Linked DNA regions of Oryza sativa Japonica Group. Each later gene encodes a partner of the first gene's protein in a complex. Links are inferred from orthologs where the notes say so. Each region holds a gene or a part of one and is shown in the gene's direction. Other genes may lie near its edges.

The links. The genes of interacting proteins can lie anywhere in the genome.
Region 2: the proteins of NADH dehydrogenase [ubiquinone] 1 beta subcomplex subunit 8, mitochondrial (region 1) and NADH dehydrogenase [ubiquinone] 1 beta subcomplex subunit 7 are in contact, whole or in part, in a cryo-EM structure (PDB 8BEH), measured with the Arabidopsis thaliana proteins. The link is inferred for Oryza sativa Japonica Group from reciprocal best matches to the Arabidopsis thaliana genes AT5G47570 and AT2G02050. Residues at the interface, in NP_568684.1 of Arabidopsis thaliana: Ser103, Lys104, Val105, Pro106, Phe107, Thr108, Pro109, Arg110, Tyr112, Pro113, Tyr114, Leu117, Glu120, Leu121; in NP_565280.1 of Arabidopsis thaliana: Met10, Ala12, Thr13, Gln14, Met17, Leu24, Gly25, Arg27, Asp28, Met29, Arg69, Met70, Ala72, Met73, Ile76, Arg77.

Annotation. Positions count from the first base shown.
Region 1 is NC_089044.1:22,341,530-22,349,908, forward strand, and holds NADH dehydrogenase [ubiquinone] 1 beta subcomplex subunit 8, mitochondrial, read left to right. Parts: upstream 1-2,860; 5' UTR 2,861-2,939; coding exon 2,940-3,077; intron 3,078-3,207; coding exon 3,208-3,294; intron 3,295-3,380; coding exon 3,381-3,476; intron 3,477-5,505; coding exon 5,506-5,562; 3' UTR 5,563-5,764; downstream 5,765-8,379. Other genes in the region: putative lipid-binding protein AIR1B, read right to left, coding at 6,517-7,005. UniProt on the Arabidopsis thaliana protein: Accessory subunit of the mitochondrial membrane respiratory chain NADH dehydrogenase (Complex I), that is believed not to be involved in catalysis. Complex I functions in the transfer of electrons from NADH to the respiratory chain.
Region 2 is NC_089037.1:1,692,945-1,701,324, reverse strand, and holds NADH dehydrogenase [ubiquinone] 1 beta subcomplex subunit 7, read left to right. Parts: upstream 1-3,974; 5' UTR 3,975-4,065; coding exon 4,066-4,395; 3' UTR 4,396-4,426; intron 4,427-7,720; 3' UTR 7,721-7,948; downstream 7,949-8,380. UniProt on the Arabidopsis thaliana protein: Accessory subunit of the mitochondrial membrane respiratory chain NADH dehydrogenase (Complex I), that is believed not to be involved in catalysis. Complex I functions in the transfer of electrons from NADH to the respiratory chain.

The DNA of each region.
Region 1 (8,379 bases):
CGCCTTGGCCTGACGAAGCATGGCGCTCTCCAGTTGTTCCACCTTAGCACTCAAATCCCCCAGCGACGAATGCAAATCCCCAACTCGTTTCTCTACTTGAGGCAACCTCGCTTCCACCGCCGCCATGAACTCATTCAGATCTGCTCTGTTTCTTTCTTCCGCCTCAGTCCGCATCTTCTCAATATCCTCCAGGGTTTTAAGCAGCAAATCCAACATCCCTTCCTACGCCATGATTTGCGCAGCCTACTTCGTAACGTACCGTGGTTTCTCCAGGATCAAAGACTCGCAACCGCTCCGAACTCAGCCAACCCAAACGCAGCAAGGGAAGCGAGTTCCCTTTTTGCGGATTCTGCTCGAGAGCAGATTCCAATCCGCGCTTCGTGATTCTACGGCCGAGTCAAGAGGATATGGTTGGAGATGGCTCTGATACCAGATTGTTAGAACCCTAGCACTCGATTTCACCACGAACTCAAGAACACGATAGGTAGCTGGAACTTTGTATTTCTCTCACGATCCAACAGGATCGGAGCCGCCGCCGCTGCCTTGACCGCCGAGTTCCAGATCGATGCCGTTTCAGACAGTACACAGTAGTTTTTAATCTCTCTCTCTCTCTCTCCAGCTGTGCCACAAGGTCTCAGCCCACTCTACCCTATTACACGGCCCATTCCGGCCCAACATATCTAGGATTAGTAATACTCTGGCGCTTCTCTCTTTCAAAGACGCCTTCTGCTCCTCCGTCTTCTGCTCCTCCGCCTTCGTCAGAGTCCTTATCGCGCCTCCTATTGGTAACGTCAGCTTCCTTGCTTATCCTGACATTTTTCTTCAAACTTTTAACTTTTTCATCACATCCAAACTTTTCTACACACATAAACTTCTAACTTTTTCATCACATCGTTCAAATTTTAACCAAATTTTTAATTTTGACGTGAACTAAACACACACGGTGATGCATGATCTGCATCAATTCTCGGATGTCAGAGGAGATCTCCGAATTACTCGTTTTCAGATTTCGGATGAAGGCTAAACCCCGAACAAATGCAAGTGCCCAGTGGTTCGTCGGAGGTGGAATCCCCAAGGAGACATTTGGGCTAAAAAGAGACTGGGTCCACGCGGCCCCTCTCACTGTGTGTCAATCCTAGGAGGGGTCGCCGCCGGAGACGTACGGATAGCACGGACGTCGGCGAGTGCGAGGAGATTTCTTGCAGACTGTACGTTCTGAATTTTCATGTTTTCGGTGAGCGAGTGAGACTGGATCTCTGTCTCATTTTACTCAAGCTGTTCTTGGAACCGCATTACAGATTATGCAATTTGATGGGTAAAGAACCGCGCGCAACTTAGCCGCTTAATTAAATATGCAGTTAGTCAGTTAACTAATAAGTTGCTTCTGAACGTAGGAGTACTCACTAATAAGTAATAAAGTACTAATTGCATTATGATATCACAATAAGCAACAGTACTTGTCAAGAGTATATGGGACTATAGGACTAGATTCTACAGTGGAGCACGTAGGATTGACTTGTGCCATTTGCCGTGTGGTTTTCTTCAGAAATACCGTAGAGACAGATAGCACTCATGAGTCATGACCTGAATACTCCTACTCCATCCGTCCAAAAAAAAGATAAACCCTAGTTTCCGTGTCTAACATTTGATCATTCGCCTTATTTAAAAAAATTATAAAAAAAATTAAAAAGATAAGTCACGTATAAAGTATTAATCATGTTTTATCATCTAACAACAATAAAAATAATAATTATAAAAAAATTTCATATAAGACGGACAGTCAAACGTTGGCACGGAAACCCAGAGTTTGCCTTTTTTTTGGGACGGAGGGAGTAGCTGTTAGGGCACCCACAATGGTTATTTATAGGCTATCTATAAGAGATCCATGTCAGCATATTTTCCTACTTGAAAGAGATTAAATAAAGAGAGAGAGCAAAATTATCTACTAACCTAGAGATAGTCTATAGAGAAAAACGAGACAATGGATTAGAGAGCTATAGATACCCATGTAGACATACTATTGAGGTGGTTTACTATTAATCTAGTCTATTGCTGAGATGTACATGTTTTATTAGATAGATTGTGGGTGCTCTTAGTGACAGAGATGGAGGGACTGTTATCTCATGACCTACTTTAATAATGGCGACCTGGAATTAACCAAACGGAGCAGCATACTGTATATCTGAATTAATTATGGCTCGTCCAACCGCGCGTACTGTACTGTTGAGTGGAAATGTTTGTGCGCTTTCTGAAACCTATACTGATCGCTGATCCCATAATTCATGCCCTAGCTAGTTCATTTTGGCAACATTTGCAAGGTAGGAGTAGTAGCTAGCAGCTCATCACCTTAGACCCTGTTTAATTCACATTAAACTTTTCCTAAACTTCCAACTTTCCATCACATCGCATTAAATACAAAATTTTTCTACTCACATAAACTCTCAACTTTTTTTTAAAACTATTAACTTTTCTTAAACTTCTTCTCAATTTTAGGAACTAAACACAGCCTTAACAACTGAACTGAATATGTACGTGTGACTCCATCAGCAGTCACCTAGCCAGAAAGTGCAAATTTCGTCCGACAATTTCTCATATCCAGTTTTCGGATCAACCGATCAAACCAAAACGGCAACAAAAAACAAAAAAAATAAAAAATATATATCGCTGATGCGCGTGTGATGATTGCTGTGGTTTTATTCTCCGAACCCCCAAAAGAGGCGTTTGGGCCATGCAGCGACTAGGCCGTTTGGTTGACCCAATACTTGCCTTCTCCACTCGGCCCACGGGCCCACAATGCGAAGGCTGAACTGAAGCCCACCTACACTCCTGCGTCTTCCTCCTCTCCGCCGCCGCCGCCGACGAGCACAACCGCACACGAGACGACGTCACCCACAACCGCACGCGCAGATCCGAGAGGCGAGAGCGAGAGCGAGGTGGGAATGGCAGGGAGGCTGACCGCGGCGGGATCCCGCGTCCTGGGCGGCCAGGGCGCCGCTGCCCGCGCCGCGGTGTCCGCGCTCCGCCACCGCGCCGGCATGGGCCTCCCCGTCGGCAGGCACATCGTCCCCGACAAGCCCGTAAGCCGTCTCTCGCCACACCTCTCCCCCCCCCTCTCATCGACCTTGTGCTCCTCCGATTTCTCTCTCCGCCGATGCGATTTCTCCATCTAATCGATTCGATTTGCGGGGGGATTTGGGGAATTTGCAGCTGCCGACGAACGACGAGCTGGTGTGGGACAACGGCACGCCCTTCCCGGAGCCCTGCATCGACCGCCTCGCGCCGCACATCGGCAAGGTCTGATTCCCAACCCTCATGCACTGAATCACATGGATTCGTGGGGGTCTCATCTGGTTTGATTTGATGTGATGCTATTTGGTCAGTACGAGGCGCTGGCCTGGCTTTGCGGTGGGCTCGGATTCTTCGCTACTCTTGGCTTGGCTGCCACCTTGAACGACAAGGCCTCCAAGATCCCCTATGTGAGTGCCAAATACTTCATTGTGATATTTTACTTTCTGTTGGATGGACAAACAGTAGAATTGCTAGCATTTCAACAACAGTAGGAGTGAACAAAGTAATACTGTAAGGTTAGACCAAATAGCCAAGAAAACATTGCAGGGATGGGGAAAACATTAAGATGGGAAATGGCCACTGTGATTCAATCCCTGTGTCATAGTTAAACCTTTATTTCGCCCATTAGGACCTGCCGTTGTTTCTGCAAATTCCTTTCCTTCCATTTTGCTCACATGATTCTCTAGGTGGCACAGTTAATATGTCTAAATGTTATATCTAGTCATTCTCAAGTTAGAAGATTTTGCCTCCAGATAACTTCTATGAGGATTAGGCCACTAAGGGAGTATGCTGATCATCTGCATTAATTATATTATTGAATTAACAATGCACATTGAAGTTTTCTGTTGAACAATAGCTCCTTGGGTTCGATCTGTTCCTTGCTACTATATAGTATATACTGACAAGTAATTCTATATTGCTCCTAGCTATATAGTCATATAGCAAAGAGTAATTTTATATTGTTCCTACCCTCCAATTTATAGAATCAGCAAAAGAGGGAAAAAAAAGAGTTTGAAAATGATTTAATGGAATTGAGATCATTGTTGTCCATTTTCATAAAAAGAAATCATCACTAGACTAAACAATCATAGACCTAGTTGTACTGTAAGAAAATATGATGAATAGATGGCATTTTTGAAGGATGTATATTTTAAATCCTAAATGCAATCAGTCATGTGCTCTTATCCTCTTGTATCAAACAGTTACAAATATATATGGCGTATTGCCACTCTCTGTTAGCAAGCTGAATTTAGTCACCCTTATTAGCTGCCTTCAAATGTTTTTGGATGAGAGGATATTGTATGAGGTGTTATTTTATAGAATCTGTGATATTCTTAGGGAACATTTTACTCACTATGCCTAAATTTACTTCTTGATCAGGCCATGCACTCTATATTTTAGCATCTTCTGTAAATATAACTTCATTGTGTTTCCTCATATGTAAAAGCCTTGATTTATATTACTTGAATTGTACTCCCTCCGTTTCACAATGTAAGACTTTCTAGCATTACCCATATTCATATAGATGTTAATGAATATAAACACAAATATGCGTCTAAATTCATTAACATCTATATGAATATGGACAATGTTAGAAAGTCTTACATTGTGAAATGGAGGTAGTAGTATTGATTATCATGTTCTGTTGGTCTATATGTAACACTAAATATTACCTCAATGTGATCATACTAGGCACTAGTTTGAGTTGAATCATGGAGTGGGGCTGTGATAATAACTTTGTGTGGTCTTTGTAGAACTCTTTAACCCTTCAATTTTCTGACCTATTAGTCTCCTTTCTCAGCACCTATCCAATTTCGATTCTGAAAAGGGAGTTTTTTTTAGGGGAAAAAGGGAGGTGTTTGGTCTAGCTTCATAGTTCATAGAGATATCATGGTGACATGGTGTGGTAGGCTAAACTGTTGCGAACTTTGAAGCATGTAGGATTTTATTTGTACATATTATCCGTGTTCGATACTCCGTACAGGCTACACAGTCTCTTACTTTCTCTAAGTTGCTTCTCTGCCATAGATGAAATCCCCCCAAGAGTTGATTTGCTCCTTAAAAGTGTCAGCAGATAGCAGAGTTACTATACATGTTAAGCAACTTGCCTCTTCAGTGTTCCAGGTCTGTAACTTAATTGAAGAATGAAGGTTCACAAAAGAGAGGGGGCAATACTGTATTTTCAATTTATCTCCTTATATTTGCCAGAATGCTATTAGATTGTGCGATCAGTCATTAAAGTAACACTTGTTACAGTAGCAAGCCTGTTGCATATTTTGTCGCCAATGGGCAAAGAAATATGCATACTATTTCTGAGCATAGACCGGATCAAGTTAAGATAATGGTTCATCCTAATCACGACAAATGATGCCTGTCTGCTTTTGATTTGCTTTTATGAACAACTTGACTGAGGATTTTTTATATTTCTTCATGCAGACTCCAAAAGTCTACCCATTTGACAATTTGAGAGAGGAACTTGGTGATAGACCATAGAAGAAGACCCCACTTCCTCAAGTGATGTGATGGACTGAATTCTCTTGCCTTCTTTAATCAGAGAAAAAAACAGGACAATTCCAATGTTCCTGATGGTTGTCTTTGTTGTCGCTGTATTTTTATAAGTTACAATCTTGTGATTTGCTGAATCCTGCCAAGCATGGCTTTGTTCTATAATAATGCGATGAGTGTCTTTGAGCAACTATTGCACATGCTAAGGAATTGACTCTTGACGATTTAAAGTTAGAATTTTCAAGTGCCTATATTTGCCCTGTAACTTCTTACAGAATGCCCTGGAGTCTGAACCACGGTTTGCGCCATTCATCTGTTGGGCAATGTTCTATAGGTGCAACCTGGCTTTAAGCTGTAGAAATGAGACGAGTTATGGATTCTGGCATTGTTTCCAAACCAGCTCTTGGCCCTGTTTTGGGGGTGCCTATAGCAGCTTTAACTTTGAGAATAATCCCCGGTTGCTCTAAACATTCCATATTTTGACTTGCATTCTGATAATTTGTAGTTGCAGAATTTCAAAAGTTGGCAAACTCATTCCTTTTCAGATTCTCGCTAGTTTACTCACCGGTTGTTTCTCGGAATCTTGCTCCATGCATGCAGATTAAACACTGACTATTCCATATTCAGCTCAGATTCAGAATCACATATACGGTATATTACTCGAGCAACATATATTCAACACAAGATTTTTATAACGAACTTTAGCACGCAAAAGCACAAATCAACTCCGAGGTACATGTAGATGTAATGTCACTCACTCAAGCACAGGAATTAATTAACTCAACATCGGTCATCAAAGTAGTAAGCATGCGCTACACGATCACACACGACACCGAAAGCAATTAACAACAAATCAAATAAGCGAACAATAACAATAGCTGCATGAGCTGCTCATCAAGCACTAATTAATTCAGATATAATCAAATTAGCTAGCTTAATTAGCTAGTTGCTGGAGCACTGGAAGCCATTGGGGAGCTTCCTGCTGCAGCGGTTGACGAGGACGCTGAGCTGGACGTGCGGCTCGACGCCGACGAGGCCGAGCACGTTGGCGCGCAGCGCCGTGCAGAGGCACACGGCGGCGTCCACGTCGGCGAGGCCGGCGAGGAGCCCGCAGCACTGCTCGCCGGAGGACGACGGCGACGAGTTCCCCAGCAGATGGCCCAGGTTCAGCAGCCCTCCTCCTCCGCCGCCGCCGCCCAGCACGTCGGCGCACGCCGCCAGCTTCAGCGCGTCGAACGGGCACTTGGCGCCGGCGGCGCGGCGCGCCGGCGCCGGCGTCGGTTTGGCGCACCGCGATCTGCAGGCGCCGCCGTTGCAGCGGCCGCCGCATGCCTCCGACGGCGCCGCGGCGAACACGAGGAGGCTCATCAGCGCCACAATGGCGGCGACTGCAAGCTTGTTTCTACTACTGTTCTTGTGCGCCACCGCCATTGCTAATTGACACACTAGCTATAGCTCTAGCTAAGGGATGAGTTGAAGTGTTTATGTGAGAGTTCAGTGTGTGTGTTGTGTGCAGTGCACAAGCTAGCTAGTGAATTTATAGCAGGGGATTGAGCTGAGCTGAGTGAGTGAGCTAGGCATGCATTTGCTTGAGTCGGCCCGGCATTTGTTGTTCCGGCAATTACATAACAACATAATACTAGATACTGATACATTTTAGTATCACGAATCTGGATAGAAATTAGGTTGTTACTCTCTCCGTTTCAGGTTACAAGATGTTTTTGACTTTGGTTAAAGTCAAACTGCTTTAAGTTTAACCAAATTTATAGAAAAAAATAATAATATTTTCAATCCAAGATAAAATTATTATAAAATATATTTAATTATTAATATAATAAAACTAATTTGATAATATAAATATTGCTATATTTATCTATTAAATTTAAAACAGTTTGATTTTGACTAAAATCAAAAATCTTATAACCTAAAACAGAGAGAAAAACAGAGAGAGTATATTTTTGGACGGACTTAATAATTAACTAAGCTATATATCTGGGTATTCTACCTGTACTCTTAAACGATCTTGTGGTCGACAATATTGGTGCATACAGTATATCCGTGCACGAATGAAGTGGCATCGATCGATCTGTAATGTTCATGTGAAGTACACCTTCACCTTCAAGTTTGCGGTGCTTAATTAAGTAAGCTCATATGACGAGGCATGTATGTGCCGGAGACCATAGGGTCAGGGCATTATTAGATTCGGCGCCGTCGCGTCATCATTCGATGGGCAAATTAATGGGATCACTATATATGTGTGTGGCTTTGTCCGATTGGTGCGGGCACCTATGCAGCTCGATCAATGTAGAACCTAATTGTACACAAATAAATGAATTAATTCATCTTCAATCTGTGGTCTTCGCTTCTGATCTAGCGGTGGTTTGTAAAGGCGCTCCCAAGTCCCAAATGATCGTTTTAATTAATTTGGTCCAAAATTTGTGGACCACACTCAATATTCATCTGAAATTGATCCAAAGAGGGAAGGACGGTCATTGCCTCTGAAGACTGAAGTCTGAACTCTTGAGATGCAATTAATCCCGAACCAATGAGCTAGCTAGCTGATTTTTGCTGTGCCCCGTGTGATCGATGCATCTCAAGATGTAAGAGGTGTGAACTTGTGAGTTGTGATGCACCCATGACTGACTGAACCTTACCTTCATGTGCTTCACACTTCTGGAGCAGTGGAGTCGATTGAAAAATAAACTTCGATGAAAAAAACCTCAAAATCAACTTCAAATTTAAGGTTAAAAATTCAAATTTTAGCTAACAAGTATAAGCATAAGCGAAAAGATGAGATCATTCAAT
Region 2 (8,380 bases), on another chromosome or scaffold:
TGAAACGTTAAAATATGATGGTGTGGTTGGAAGTTTTTTCTAAAGCACATGTCTATTTATATCCTTTGTATATATATACCTCTAAATGCAGAGGATCTGAATTCAACCTAGATGCAGTTAGCATAGTTTTCTCGGTTTTATCGTTGGGGGGAAGGATTGAGAATGAGATGGGCCAGAACTTTTTGTTGTGGTGAGCCCAGTGGGAGAATACGGCCCATATCACGAGATGATCATTAATCAGTCTTAATTTAGTTCGTTCGGCCTTTCCCTGAAAAATATTGGGTAAATCTAGCTTTAAACTTTTAATCTGTTATTAATTGTGTGCGGTGTGAATGTGTGATACTAACACAGCAACACTGTACCTACACAGCTCCGGTAGGGATATGTAGAATCTGTTCACAATTCACTCCATAAAATCCTTCTCTTTTTTCTGTCCTATGTATCTCCATTCTCTTGACTGCAAGAAGGGAACGATCTCTTTGTTACCACAACTTAAATTTTTACTCATGTTTTCTGAATTTTATTTAGTAATAAACAAAAACGACATTTGTGTTCTTCTGCTATTCATCCCTGATTCCCAGTAGACAAAAAAGAAAGTAATAGAAAAGGACAAGGTGTATAGAGTTTGGGCCAAAACTATAGATTAGGCCCATATTTTACCGGCCCAATTTGGTTACACGTCGGCCTGTTACCACAATCTGATGCTAATACGAGCTAGGGTTTCCTCGCCGCCGACCCGTCAACCCTATATAAGCGGCATCCTGTTCTTCCGAAACCCACTCATCGTTCCCTTCCGCCGCACCGGTAATATGTGGTTTTCGCTTCTCGCGTTTGTTCAATCTTAATTTGAGTTTCTTTTCTGTTCTCTCTTCTTTCTAGATAGATCTGTTGCGTTTGGTTTTCAGATTGGTTTTACGCGGTTGCAAATCTGATGCAGTTTTGAAGTGATGATCCTTTCCCCAAATTATCGACTATGATTGTACTGTGCGATTTTTGCAAGCTCTTCTCTTCGGAGAAGGCTTCTAAGCCAGTAGTTCTGATCAAACCGCTACATTTGATTTGCATCTGATTTGGTTTCGTTTCTCTGGGAGTTCATCCACTAGATCTGTTTCTGAGTTATTCATCCGCGGTGTTCTGATTTTCGCCTGTTGTTTTGGTTGAGATATTATATAATCTTGATGGAAGTGAGGATCCTTTCCCCAGCTGATCGACTATGATTATACTGTGCGCAAATGTAATCCCTCTTCAGAGGATTCAAGCCAGAAATCTGATCCATCTGCTATTCTCAACACAATTTCAGCTTTGTATTTTTGTTTTGCAGTGTTTTTTTGCGCGACCCTTTTTTGTTTGTTTGTTTGTTTGAATGGAAGTGAAGATCCTTTCCCCAGATGATCGACTACGATTATACTGTGCGCAAATGTAATCCCTTTTCGGAGGATTCAAGCCAGAAATCTGATCCATACAGAATGCAATATTTAACTTTACTTTTTGTGGTTTTGTAATTTTTTTTTCTGTACAGTTTTTGCTCGTCCAATTGTTTGTTTGAATGGAAGTGACGATCCTTTCCCCAGATGATCGACTATGATTATACAGTGCGCACAAGTGACCCCTCTTCGAGGAGGATTCCAAGCCAGAATTCTGATCCATTTTTTTATATAGTTTTGGTCCGTTCTTTGTTGTTTCGGTCTTTTATTTTTCAGAAGGGAAACAATGAGGCAGCACGAAGAAGTGAAGAACGGACAAATCCTTCCATTTAAGAAAGAAGACAGCAAATGGCATACGCGAGTACACATCACCAAATACAGAGTGGAAAAATTATCAACGAATATCCAACTATAAATTGTATGTGCTTTCAATTAGAGATACTTAAAAAAATGAGAAGAATGAATCACAAATATTAGTTATTTGTCAAATTGCTGACAAATTTTCCATGTCACCCGTAAATGTGGACATGTGGTTGCTTGGTGACAGTCTGCTAGGCAACTGCAATACCCGATATCACTCGCCGTTAGCATTCAGAGCCTGGACAGTTCTGCATTTGCATTGGAGGAGAAACATTCAGAACTTACACGAGCATTCGCATTGGAGCCTTGGAGGAGACAATCAGAATCTACACTATAAATGGCCGAAGGGGCTGCCTGCCTGGTCTGAGGGCAGTCGGGCCGTCACGGACCAACAAACTCACTGTGACAGGCCGTGCCCGCTCATGGGCTGCACTATGGCCCTGGCACGGCCCAATAAACTCGGACCGTGTCGTGTCGAAGGCATGATCAACCCACCGTCCTTAGCTTTAAATAAGTATATTTTGACTCCCTCATTTCTAAAAAAAATCGTGCGTACTAGTACTGCATTTTGTTGTTAGCAGATTTATCGATACACGACAGAAGTGCTCTGAGGGTAGTGCTCTTATCAGGGCATCCATGATGTAACACAAAAGTGACCCAAATAAAATGTAGCCCATTCAATCCGTAGCTCAACGTAGCTAAATATCCAAACTTTCAATCCTCTTTGTTTAGGATTATAAACTAATTTATGTGCAAAAAATCTTATGCTATTAAACAAGCGGTTTTTTCGTTTCGCCTTTTTAAAGTCGTAAGCTACTCTTGTGCTATTAAGCCAAAAGCTAAGTCAGAAGCTTTTTTTTAAGCTTATATAAGGTAAAAAAAATATGACTCTACATTTAAAGTTAGAACTTTAAAATCCATTAGCTTATAAGTCACACACACACACACACACACACATATATATATATATAGATATATATATATATATATATATATATATATATATATATATATATATATATATATATATATATATATATATATATATATATATATATATATATATATATATAAGAAAAGCTAACTTGTTATTATCATTTATGACATACCTGGCTAAAGCATGGATTTGTATGGCTTGGTACCAAAATGAGTCTGGCTAAGCCCACCACAACACAGCTAACATATTGTAGTACTCTAGTTGGGCATAAAACGGATAAAGATTAAGGTTGAGGCCGGCAAAATTTTATTAAGAAACAAGTTTTTGATTGCCAATGTTTTTCTAAAAAAAATTAAAGTAAATATCACAAAACCTCTAGTATTATGGTCTGAGTTTCAAAATAACCATGGAGATTTTAGTCTATCCAGATATCTAGAGTTATTTTGATACTTCTCTTCCAGTAAACCACACCCCAACCACATCTTAGCAATGATGATATGTGGGACCCGCTGAGGCCTGGGTAGGGTTGACCTTCTCTACTTCATGTAGGACTCACCGCTACCTACGTTGTCGCCACCCACGTCAATAATCCTCGATTGTGATGCTAACTCTAGTCCCGTCGCAATCATGTTAACCTCATCCTCATTCGTCACCACTAGTCCTCGCTGTTGTTGCCTCTCGCCTGCAAGCATCATCTGCTTCTCCTCTAACTCGCCGCCACCATCTCTCATCGGACCATCGCAGCTCGACTCCTCGCTGCAGATCTAGCTAGGGTGGGTGCCATGGCACCCTTGTCGCTTCACCACAAGCACCATCGTTATCTATTGCCGTATGTTATTTCGTTGTTCCGTCTATGTAAAACAAATCTAAAGATCTTAGAAGTTTTTTTAAAAGAAAAACACACCGTTTAGCAGTTCGAGAAACCCGTTATCGAAAACCCATATAAAATTTAAATCTTAATCAGAAAAGAATAGGGCTTTTTATATAAGCATTACTTTAAAATATTAAATAATAATTTTTTTATGTTTGGAACAATTAAAACTTAATTAATTATACTCTGATAACTTTCTCTGCGCTGATTTTATTCTAAATCTATCTCAAACATCAGCTATGTGTTACTATGACTTATGACTACGTTCAACTTTTAATCCCAGTTTACTTGGGGCCATTTTTTTTATTTTTTACGGAAGTTTACTTGGGGCATTGGGGAAGCGAGAAACTTCTTGGTCTAGCTGGAGCCCGAACCCGAGCCCAAAGCGACCGATCCAACCACCCGCATCCACACACCGCACCACCAACCATCGACCGCCTCGCCGGAGAGGAGAGAGAAAGGAAGAGCGCGAGATGGAGGCGGCGGCGGCGGCCGGCGTGCAGCTGGGCACCTCGAAGCCGCAGATCGCGACCCAGGCGGAGATGTCGGAGGCGCGCCTCCCACTGCCCTACCGCGACCAGTGCGCCCACCTCCTCATCCCCCTCAACAAGTGCCGCGTCGCCGAGTACTACCTCCCCTGGAAGTGCGAGCCCGAGCGCCACGCCTACGAGAAGTGCCAGTACGAGCTCGTCATGGAGCGGATGATCCAGATGCAGAAGATCCGCGAGGCGCAGGAGGCCAAGTCCAAGGGCGCCGCCACCATTGGCGTCCCCCTCATCCCTTCCACCGCCAAGCTCTCCTGATCCCCGCTCCGCTTCGATCTGCTCTATTCAGGTGATCCCCCGCCCCGCCTTGTCATTTTGGCCCCTCTAGATTTGGCTCGATTGCTGTGATTGGCTTCGTGATTGCGATTTCAACGCAAATTTTACCCTTCGGAATTCGACGAGCACTACTGATGAACCTTTAGGCTGTAGAGGTATTGAAACTTGAGTTTCCATTTCGGCTGTTTTAGCGGCGCCATCAGTTCAACCTACTGAATTTCTTATACCGGTGCTACAATGTTAGCTAGGGTTTTCACTAGTTGGTTATGAATCCTAACACTACTGGTTTTCACTAGCTGGTTATGATTGGGAGATATAAGTCCAACACTAATTCGTGGGAGAACAATACATGCCTGAATCCTGCATCAGTAACCCAATTTATTTGGAGATCTGAATTTAGTTTTGTTGTCACCAACTTGCTGAATGTTTCGATCCCAACACTTGCCTGATATCCTGCACTGGTATGCACTTTGAATTTCCACTAGCTGTGCTCTTGGTGGTGGGATTCGGATCCTCTGACACGCAGTAGTCAAGTCGAAGACGTGGTAGTACCCATCTATCCGCTGTCCAAAACCATCCGATGGCTCCTGCTTATTAGCCAGTTCTTCTCCACTGCTTGCAAGGTTGCATTGTTAAGGACACGCTGTTCCCATCCACTAGGACCTCTCGTCTGAGCACGTCAACGACCAAAATGCTTGATGTTAATGAGGAGAATGCTGCTGAGAAGCGAATTTGTTTCATTAGTGATTGCTTTGGCCAATACCAAGCGGAGCTCCTTAAGTTAGCCTCCCTTTTCTTCGTAGTGTCCGTGTGGCGGCGCGTGCCGTTGGACGGCCACAAAATTGGGCTGAACCGTTTCTGACCGCTCCAAAGATCAACTCTAAAATTTGCCACCTCAAGGCTAATTTTCTCAAATCGAGGTTGAAATTATTTTTCACATGTTCTATAGCCCCTTTCGCTTTCCAGAGCAAATTATCTGCCTCAGCCCACCGGAGCAGGACACCACCAATGCCATGTTTCTGGCCACCACAGAGCTCACCCGCCACTCCGCAGCCACAGGTGACCCCAACCTGAACAACACTTCCACAAGCTCTGCTTTGTTTCATGGGTACTCGATGACCACAGCGCCATACCACAGCATCGTGGATTTTGTGGCCGTAGGCATGTAATGACTTAGGAGTATGTGCGAACTGCGAAGAAGGCAGGAAGAAAAGGGGAGAACGAAGACCAAATAAGGATCATTGGATTAAAACAGACAGTTGATATAGAGGGGTACTGCACGTCTCTGACTTAACTACTGCATGTCAGAGGATGCAAATCCCTCTTGGTGGTGCTGAAGTTCACGGGAAAACTATGTAGACTTGGGAAACACATAGTCAGAATTCCTGCTGTTTAGCCTGGAGCCTTGTAGCAATGGAGCATTTCAGGTTTTTTTTCTGTTTTAAGCTGATAGTTGCTCTCAGTCACTCAGTGATCTCTAACGTTTTGACTTCTCTCTGTCCCTTAACAGGGTACTTTTCTTTATTTCATTTAGGACAAGTAAAAGCTCTTCTTTGATTAAAATTTATACAGAAATTATGTTTCCCCATGCTTTTGCCTTCCCCCTTCTTAGCTATGCTGGCACACTTTACCTTGTATGACCAGCATTAGTTGTATTCATGTCTACTTATACATAAAGCTTTGTTGTTAGCCAACCTTTTTTTTTTCAATTTTACTTTGTCCTTTCTCTCATGAGCTAAAGTTTATTTGAAATTGACCTCTGGCCTCTGGGTTGATATCAATGGGGTATCCTTTTTAAAGAACGTGACCTGGTTGTTTATACATCTCTTATTTGAGAATAAAGTCCTCTCATTTGATGCATCTCCAATCAGTTGTGTGCATTTATTTGCTTTATTCTATGATTTCCCCTGTTTCTATTCTCATTTACAGAGTGCTGCCTTGACAGCTGACAATTGTTTGGTAGACCTGTGATTTGATGGCATTGGTATTAGTGACCTAGCAATGGAGATCAAGAAGTCTTTCCCAAAATCTTGATTTGATGTTTTATTTAGTTGTAATATGGTGCTTTGTGCAATTTACTGGCCATTTTTTTAAGAAAGCGAACCACTAAAAGTTAAATACTACACGGTCGTTGGTTTATAAACATACAAACAGAACTAGTGTCACTAATTACTAGTTACTGGCAAACCGGATGTAAAATACAGTATCAGAATGAGCAAATGCTGGTGAACAATTATACCAAATTGCTGAGTAATTACTGGATTTGTAGTTCTACTTGCTTTCTTTGCTGAGCCGCTTACCTTCTCTTTGACATAGAAGATCATTTAACTTAACATGAGTGACCAACCTAATTCATGGAAGCAACCATCAAAAGATAACAAGATATAGGGAAATTGATCTGGGACAGAAATGTTGCAAATATGTAGTCTATCTTGTTTTTAGAGTTACCTTCCGTGTGCACCTCTTAAACATTAAGTCCTTTTCTCATCCATGTTTTGTTGAAAACATATTGGATGTGATATTTAAGGAACTGTCCACTGCAAATCATTTGTTTGAAGTATCTAGTAGTAGGAGTATTGCAGTGCAAGTTCTCTTTGATAGTTCCTCTGTGACAACAAGAAACAAAGGACATAATAATGACAGAAGTACATAAGTACAGATAATATACTTTGGCTGCTTCGTTTCTTCTGCTAATAGTAACTGCAAAATGATTCCTTGCACTTATTGTGTATGGAGTACTACTTTATCTTCAGAGTTATGAATCATGACACACTGACATAAATCGTGTTGGCATTTGCAATCTTTTCAACTGTCCATTAGGTGATGAAATCATTCTGTACCTTTAGGCTGTTAGTTTCTGGCATATTGGTAGATCCATACTCTCTACAGTTCAGTCATCATAGTATAGACCGGCATCTTAGATGCTGCAACTATTTAGTCTTCATGCCTTTGATGATAAGTGCTCTTTGGGAGGTTCCTCTCCCATTTGAATGCATCACTATAACCTTTGATGGCATAGACATTGGATGTGTCAGATGGTTAAGTTTGGGGACAGCGGTTTTTTCCCTATCAGAATGGCATGTGGCTCATGTGGTGTTTACTCTGTGCATCCTTTGTTTTCACCTCAACCTGAGTCAGTAAATGCGATGCTGTTTTATTCTGTTTCCTCTGGCACAATTTGGTTCTGTTTTGTTCCTTCCCTGATGGCACTCTGTCTAGAAACTCCATCCGATTTTTCTTTTTTATATAGCACACATTTATCAGTTTATCAGTCATATTGACAATTGGATTCCTTTCGGATGCACAGGGCTGGTTATGACAGCACGAAGGACATTGTGCAAGGATCGTGGATGCTAGTTCTATGAACCAAACATCTGTTTGAATTTAGCATAAAGTTAACTGTTGTCTTCTTCTCTCCGCCTTTACTCCGTTGGTGAGCATCTTCGAGTTTCAATATGAAATAAGGAACTACCTGTTTATACTCAATGACTGAAATGACGCCTTAAAGTTTTGAATGCAATGCGTGGACTCTGCATATGAAGAGCTACTTTAATTCAGTAGAACAACCCAGTTACTCCCAGTCTCCCAGTAACATATCCTTCCATAAGCTCATAGGCTGAAACCTTTTATATGCTCTGTCACTACTGTGTGTAGCATAGGAACTGCAGTTGTTGTTTGTGCTTTAGTTTTGTTGATCCATTGCTTACCTAATTATCTTTAGTCGTGGCCAGTCTTAGGTTATGTGTTCTTCAGGCCGGATTATGGGGATCTGGTTGCTTTTGCAGAACCTGCCTTGATGAGGGCCAAAAGTATATAGGGATTTCGTAGTCAAACGATCTTTTTGATACTCCAAGTCACAACCTATTTTGTCTACTTGGATCACCAACTAAAAACTAAGAGCAATTCCCCCACTACTGGTAGTGTCACCTACTCCCTCCATCCTATTTTAGGCGTAGTTATGAGTATC